Canis lupus familiaris: one gene and its partner. The protein of the gene in region 2 interacts with the protein of the main gene of each other region in a biochemical or structural test. Links are inferred from orthologs where the notes say so. Each region holds a gene or a part of one and is shown on either strand. Other genes may lie near its edges.

Region 1 (4,111 bases), on a different chromosome or scaffold from region 2:
CTGTAAAACCATTCTCATGGTACTCTATCCCTGCCCCCTTCCAACCTCACACAGAGTGCTATGTAGCCGCCGACCCATTCCATTTTTTGATAGTTGGGATGTGAGTTTAAGTTTCTCAGGCCTATCCCATTGATTTCTTTACCAGGGGTCCTGTTATTAGAGTCTTTCCTTTTATCTAAATTCCTAATGTCAGCCTGCATTCCCTCTTCCTGCAGAAAGCCTTCCTTGATAACCCAAGGGGATAACTCTTCTTAGCTCTTAGGACAGTTAATGTCTGAATAATTTATTGGAAATGATAGTTTATTGTGCAGTATAAAACACTGCACATTTAATATCACAATTAGTATGACAAGCCTTAGCTTTTAAGCAAGTAACTGATATCTCCCAGACTAAAGAAACCACAGCCCACCAAACCATATAATCAGATTGTGAAGTGAATCTTTTCATATCCTCATATGAGAAGTGAGTCAAGGAAATGGATGCGCAAGAAGATAAAGCTCCCGAAAGAGGAGCAGGAACAAAATTTCTAAGTGTTTCTGTGGCTGGCTGATAGGTAAAGGGAGTGTTGTTCTCATTAAACAATCGAGCACAGTCTTGACTCTATCACTTTCTCAGGATGACTTAGTTCAAGCCCCTTCTCCTTTCTGTTCCTGCTTTTCCACACATACAAAAATGGGCCAGAAAGATCCACTCTAGTTCCTTTCTGGAAAGAATGGAATTGCATAAGGACACTTCTAGAGCTCTCTCCAGCTTTAGAGTTCACCATCACCCCCAATACCTTCCTTCCCTTCTTCTTTCCTTTCATTTTCTTTCCCTTTCCTTCCTTCCTTCTCTTTCCTAGTAGTTCTAGATGCAACATTTAACTAAAGAAACTTCTTAAAGACCACTTCAGTTTCTTTTCTTTGGCCATTGCTATAAAATGATATACTTCTGGTTTACTTCAAATTAGAATTACAGAAATGATCTAGCCTCTACCAAAAAAAAAAAATGCCCTAGAATATTTCCAAAAGTATTATTCTTAGTATACATGGATGAACTCATTCAAGGATGCATTTTATAAACCTTACGATCTAAATCAAATGTTAGTAACTCTGTTTTCTTTCACTTTTATGGAGGTATGAGCCTCAAAGCTTCATTTAAACTTCAAAGCTGGTGACCCTTGAGAAACAGATACCCAAATCTCTTAAAGCCTAGTTCCATTCACCAATCCATGAGGTATAGAACATTCAACCTAAGACAACTGCAGGGAAACGGAAATCTTGCAGGATTGTAAGAAAAACGGGAGCTCTGAAAGAATAAGTAGAAACATTCTCACCTTGGCAGGGCAGGGCACGAGGGGGATCAAGTTCTCAAATTACCAAAATAACAAAAACTTCTCTTCATTCAAAAAACGCATGAGCGAAATATACCACCAATATGGTATTTTCTACAAAATGCACACTGGCCAGATTCTCTGTAAACACCAATTTCCTAAAATATGAAGAAGTGTCCTCCTTTGTCTCTTCTGTTTTTGCAACAAATCTTACCATTTCCTCCAAACAAAGCCAATTTCCTGAGATGTTTGCCTCTACAGTGGGTACCCATAGTTGCTTGTAGCTTTAGTATTCTGAGCAGTCTCAGAGGCAACAGGCATTACAAATATTTCTATGTTCTGCCCTCGTGCTCTGGGTTTCTCGTGACATCCTAAACTCTTCCAAGCAGTGGCTCAGGAGGAAGCCTCCACTTGCCTTGTAGGCTTTAATTAGCTCTAAGGACCTAAGCCTGGTCTCCTGTCTTGCTCCTTCTCGTATACACCTGGGTCACTGAAACCTAGCTCCTTGTTGAGAAAGCTCTTGGCAACAGAGGAGGCCCCGGAGAACTCAACACTGTTTGAACTGAGAATAGAGAACCTTGAAGAAGACATGGTAACAAGTCGTGTGAATCTGTTATCAGATTTCCTTATCACTTCCTTCTCAGATACACATCTCTGGCCCAGCAAAAAATTTAAATCTTAATTTCTTAATACTAATAGCTCCTGTCTCTTCTTCTGGCCCATGTGAGTCTGCAAACTTTTGAGGTGACTGCTGAACATATTTTCTCTTAAAAGCCAAATTATTTCAGAGAGTTGAGTTCCTGTTTCTTTTCTCCCTCTTTCTACATGATATATGTACCAGATGTTGGTTTTTTCTTTCTTCTTCTTCTTCTTTTTCTTCTTCTCAGCTACTTTTTGTTTTTTTCTCAAGCCTTTCTCTCTGGGGAACACTGAACGCAAATCAGAAAAAAGGTGACCAGAAGTCCACTTACCGTCTTCTGAACTACCAACATCATGATGGTTGCCACAGCAAAGATGAGACACAGAGCCAGCGCCGTGGTGGTGAAGTAGAAATAACCACGGCTTGTGGTTCCCAAGTGGCTGGCGACAGAGCCTGCTGGCACATGCATGGCTGTGTCTTGAGAAGGGGCCATTCGGTTGAGTGCTTGCTGCAGCCCTGGGTCCATTCTTATATAGTCTTCCCACAGCACACCTTATCTCTCCTCATCTGATTCAGTTCTGAGCCCATCTCTGTTCCAAGAAGGATTCTCCCCCTGCATCCTGGATCATGTGACGTGGAAAAAAACCTTCACCAGCTGCCACACGAAGAAACTCTTCTCTGGGGGCGTGAGGCGAAAGACAGCAGCAAGGGTGGGGGAGAGGCTCATTTTTCATTGCCAGGGATGAATTTGAGGGCAGAGAAACTGTAGCTACAGAGAAGGTGGTTGATGTCAGAGGGCGAGAAGGAAAATGACGGTTTCCCTACTCTGGGGTGTGTGTGTGTGTGTGTGTGTGTGTGTAGTGAGTGAGAGAGAGAGAGAGTGCACAAAGCGACTTCTGTTTCACTTAGACTCAGCCACAAAACGCCTTCCTGCTTGAGAAGCCGCATCTTCTCTTCAGCGAGGCCTGCAGCTCAGAGGACCTCGTCAGAAAATGTCTCTGTGCTGGGCCTCCGGGAAGCTGGCGCCCTCGCACTGGGCTGTGATGACTCCAGAGGGTTTGGTTTGATCAGAATCAGCTCCTGCTGGAAACTGGAGATCGTTCCAGCTGCCTGGGAAGGAAGCGCCCACAAGCATGGCCATGGGGCCAAAGGGGGCGAGCCCACCGCAGTAGGAGACGTGGGGGCAAATGTCAAGAGAGTAGGAATCTGGAAACGTTGATCTTTTCAACAAAAATTCCTGCCGGCCCTATTGGGAGGGGTCAGCCCCGCAGATAAACCTGGGCTCGCCTGCCCAGTTGCAGAAAAGGGAAGGGACTGGCGGTGGCGGTGGTGATGGGGGTGGGGAAGCAGCCTGGTGCAGAGCGTGGGGGGTGTGTTCTGTGGGCGTGTGCATGGTGGGCGTATGGTATGCTCGTGTGTGGTGCACCTACGTGATGTGTGGCGTGTGTTGTGTGTCTTATGCATGGTGTGTGTGTGTGTGTGTGTGAGAGAGAGAGAGAGAGACTATTGCAGCCGAAGCTCTGCGATCTCAGGCACAGTGCTAGTGCCAGGTGCGCTTCACACCTTGCCTCACTCCACCCTCCCCTCTGCCCTCTGATGCACCTAACACTGGCTTTTCACACATGGCAATATTGAGGCTCAGAGAGCATGAGGACGGCTCATGCTTTTTTTTTTCTTCTTTTCTTTCCTTTTTTTTTTAAATACACATTTATTAGCTCACAGTTGCTGTGGGTCAGGAATCCAGGCACAGCTTAGCCGGCTCCTTTGCTTCATAGTCTCTCACAAAGCTGCAATCAAGGTGTCAATCCAGGACCTGTCATCTTCTCTGAAGGTTGCACGGGGAAAGGATTCACTTTCAAGCACACTAAGTAGTTGTTGGCAGTTTTCAGTTCTTTGTGGCTGTTTGAGTGAGTATCTCAGTTCCTCACTAGGTGTTGACCGGAGGGGCTACTCTCAGTCCCTTACCACACTGGCCTCTCTCACATGGCAACTTGCTTCATCAAAGCAGGCAAGTTGAGAACTCAATAGAATCTCTCTAGGATGTATGTTTTCATTCTCTTTCTGGTCTAAAATCACTTGCAAGTGGCTGACTTGAGACTCAGGTTCTGCCATCCACCGTGTCCGTTCATTGTCATCCATCATGTTGATCCATGAAGTCA
Region 2 (4,084 bases):
CTTGTGCTCTCTCTCTCTCTCTTTCTCAAATAAATAAATAAAATCTTAAAAAAAAAAAAAAAAGAAGACAGGGAGGAAAGGCAAACACAAACATAAGGGATAATTGGCGCCCGTAAAGTTGACATTGAGATATATATTTAGTAGAAATAAAAATCCAGGTCAGTTTCCCTAAAATGAAAAAAACTAAACTGCAGATAGAAAAGACATTCCAGGGGCATCTGGCTGCCTCAGTCTGTGGAACATGAGACTCTTGATCTCAGAGTCGTGGGTTCAAGCCCCATGTTGGGCACAGAGATAACTTAAATAAATAAAAACTTTTTTAAAAAAGACAAAATAAGACATTCCAGGTACCAGGAAGAATCCTTTCCAAATAATTCATCTCAAGGCATATTCTGGTAAATTTTGAGCTCTGAAGATAAAGATTATTCTTGCGGTCATCTACAAAGGGGCAAAAACAAGGCGGATAGCAGACTCCTCCACAGCAATATTCACCATATGAAGACAAAGCACCAATGCCTATAAAGCTCTAGAGAAAACAGGTTTCAGGAATAATCATATACCTGCCCAAGTTGTCATTCGAGCATACAGGCAAGAAACATTCCCAAACATGAAAGAATCCCCTGAGGGATGTGCAAAGATGAATCCTTCCTGAAAAATCCACAGGTCAGTGAAATCTAACCAAACAAGTGATAAATCAAAATGAAAATTTCAGGAACAGAGAAACTGTCGTCAATGTACTCAGGGTGCACAATGAATAAGTTTAAATAGCAAAGCAAAGCTAACAGCCAAGGGACTGAGGGTTACAGAAAATATAAACACCACAGGCAATAACAGAGTAAAAAAAAAAAAAAGTAAGCAATAAAAGTCAGGAAGAGGACAGGGAGGCAGCAAGCTAATTACTTAACTTTTCATTACAGGAAGCCAATTTACTCTGTCCTATCCAAAAACTGAAACAAGCAGAACGAGATTTTACCACAAGAGAGTTTTATTCTTTTAAGGACTTCCAACTACTTCTTGATTTTCATAACCTCTTAATTTTACAGGGTTTTCTTTGTTTTGTTTTGTTTTTAGAAACTGCTCTCTTGTGATTATTTTCACTTTAGTTTCTTCTTCCTCTGACACACTTGAATAAAATCAAATGTAATCACTTGAACATCATGAACAGTACGTTCCCATCCTCTTTAAAAATCCCTTTTCGGGAAGTCCCGGTGGCTCAGCGGTTTAGCGCCGCCTTCAGCCCAGGGTATGATCCTGGAGACCTGGGATCGAGTCCCACGTCAGGCTCCCTGCATGGAGCCTGCTTCTCCCTCTGCCTGCGTCTCTGCCTCTCTCTCTCTCTCTCTCTCTCTCCTCATTGTCTCTATGAATAAATACATAAATCTTTTTTTTTAATAAATAAATAATAAAAATAAATAAAAATCCCTTTTCTCGAAGCATAAGCATCTACCTTCAGTACAGGTCATGATCTCAGGCTCCCTACTCAGCAGGGCTCTGCTTCTCCCTCTCCTTCTGCCCCTCCTCGCCTCTCGTGTGTACACACTCTCTCCCTCCCAAATAAATAAATAAAAATATTTTTTAAAATCTCTTTTCTGCACGTGTGTATGGCTGTCGACCCTTCCCATTCTTCCCCCCTCTATATAGAGATACAGAAAAGTGTCGGTCAGACATCCAACCAGGGGGGAAGGGGCAGAGGTGGCATTCTTCCTCACATCTCTTGATGTGCTTGAATGTTTCATAATGAACGTCTGAAACTCTCATTTAATACAAAGCAGTCATAAGTCTTAAAAACTTAAAGATATACCAGAGAAACGCTAATACGGATGAAGAAGAATGGCAATGTTAATATCAAGCAAAAATGGGGATCCCTGGGTGGCGCAGCGGTTTAGCGCCTGCCTTTGGCCCAGGGCGTGATCCTGGAGACCCGGGATCGAATCCCACATCGGGCTCCCGCTGCATGGAGCCTGCTTCTCCCTCTGCCTGTGTCTCTGCCTCTCTCTCTCTCTCTCTCTGTGTGACTATCATAAGTAAAAAAAAAAAAAAAAAAAAAAAAATATCAAGCAAAAATGGAATTAAGGCAAACACTGTAAGGAACAAAGAGATAATTTCATGCTGATGAAAGGTCTAAGCCACCAAGGAAACACAGTATTCCCGAACATCACACCTAATAACATAGCTCTGACATCAGAGAGCAAAAATAAGTAGAACCCAGTGAAAACCTGATGGAAAACAAGCACAGGGGAGGTGGATTTTACGCATCCATCTCAGATGTCAACCTTTGGGAAGGTGACAAAGGATAAACAAGAATGCAAAAAGCTAGGTTACTTCGGGGAACTTAGCTGGCTCAGTCCACAGAGCATGTGAGCCTTGAGCTCAGGGTTGTGAGTTCGAGCCCCACGCTGGGTGTGGAGATTCCTCAAATAAACACTTTTTAAAAAGGATGCATAGGGGATCCCCGGGTGGCGCAGCGGTTTAGCGCCTGCCTCTGGCCCAGGGCGGGACCCCGGGGTCCCGGGATCCCGCGTCGGGCTCCTGCGTGGAGCCTGCGTCTCCCTCTGCCTGGGTCTCTGCCTCTCTCTGTCTCTCGTGAATGAATAAGTGAAATCTTTAAAAAACTAAAACCCAACCCCCCACCCCCACCCCACCCCCCGAGGCCGCCGGCGCCGCCCTCACCTCCAGAGCAGCTCACACAGGCCTTGCAGCGGCCGTCCCGGTCCAGGTAGTAGTCGGGCTCGCAGCGCTTCCCGCAGTCGGAGGGCCCCCGAGGGCACGGCAGCCGCGCGCTCAGCCCTGGGGAAGGAAGCACAGAAGCTCCAGGCCGCCGCCCCGGCCCAGGCCCCGGCCCAGGCCCCGGCTGAGCCCCCGGCGCCCCCGGCCTCGGGCTACACCGCGTGGCGGCGCCGGGCCGGCCTCGCCGAAGGAAGCCGCACAGGCCCGGGAGCGCGGAGCAGGGACCCCTCGGCCCGAGGAGCCAGGGCAGCCGGGCTGCGACGCACGCACAGCGGCCGGCAGTGCGAGTCCCAGGCGCGGGGAGGGGAGGCGCACGCGGTCCACACCCACGGCGACCCGCGCGGGGACCGGGCGCCTCCAGCCGCCAGCGGCCTCCGGCAGCCCCGCAGCCCCAGACGCTTCCCACCCACGCCGAGGCCAGCGGGCACGTGGCCCAGGCGGGCCAATCACTATACGTCATCCTTCACGATGGGCACGTGACCCAGGCGGGCCAATCACATACGTCATCCTTCACGATAGACACGTGACCCAGGCGGGCCAATCACATACGTCAGCCTTCACGATGCACACGTGACCCAGGCGGGTCAATCACAATACATCACCCTGATGGACACGTGGCCCAGGCGGGCCAATCACTATACGTCATCCTTCACGATGGACACGTGACCCAGGCGGGCCAATCACAATACATCATCCTTGATGGACACATGACCCAGAGGAGCCAATCACAATACCTCATCCTCCACGATGGGCACATGACCCAGGCAGGCCAATCACAATACGTCATGCTTCGCGATGGACACATGACCCAGAGGAGCCAATCACAACACCTCAGCCTTGGGACGCCCGGGTGGCTCAGCGGTTGAAGGTCGACCTACCCTTGGCTCGGGGCGTGACCCCGGGGTCCCCGGATCGCGTCCCACATCGGGCTCCTGCGAAGCGCCTGCCTCTCCCTCGGCCCGCGCCGCTCCCGGGAGCAAGCCCTTCTCTTCCCTGTTGGGTCCGTGGTGCGAGGCGCAGGTTACGCCCGGGGCTGCGGCGTGGCAGGTGCACGTGCCCGAGGAGGCGGGGCCCGGGAGGCAGGCGGGGTCCGGGGCGGAGCCACGGGCGCGAGGGCGGCTCCGCTGTCGCTGGCGACTCCGTTCGTCCGCCTGGGCTTTGGGCGCGGGGCCCTGCCGCCTTGTGCAGTCTCCGCGTCGCGGGGGCGTGGGACGCGGCTCGGAATCCCGCTTCCCGGGGCGTGGCTGAGGGCGCGGTCACCAGGGAACCCGCGGACGCCGCGCGCTGCAGAGCACCGGGCGCTGCAGGCCGCGGCCCAAGAGCGCGCGAGCACCGTGGGGCCGGGCACGAGCTGAGC

The links.
Region 1: the proteins of TNFRSF8 (region 2) and TNFSF8 form a complex in vitro, tested with the Homo sapiens proteins (2 studies listed by BioGRID and IntAct). The link is inferred for Canis lupus familiaris from reciprocal best matches to the Homo sapiens genes TNFRSF8 and TNFSF8.

What each region holds. Positions count from the first base shown.
Region 1 is NC_049232.1:69,414,087-69,418,197, forward strand, and holds the start of TNFSF8 (tumor necrosis factor ligand superfamily member 8), read right to left. Parts: upstream 2,806-4,111; 5' UTR 2,479-2,805; coding exon 2,284-2,478; intron 1-2,283.
Region 2 is NC_049223.1:83,699,200-83,703,283, forward strand, and holds the start of TNFRSF8 (tumor necrosis factor receptor superfamily member 8), read right to left. Parts: upstream 2,822-4,084; 5' UTR 2,671-2,821; intron 1-2,670. UniProt on the Homo sapiens protein: Receptor for TNFSF8/CD30L. May play a role in the regulation of cellular growth and transformation of activated lymphoblasts. Regulates gene expression through activation of NF-kappa-B.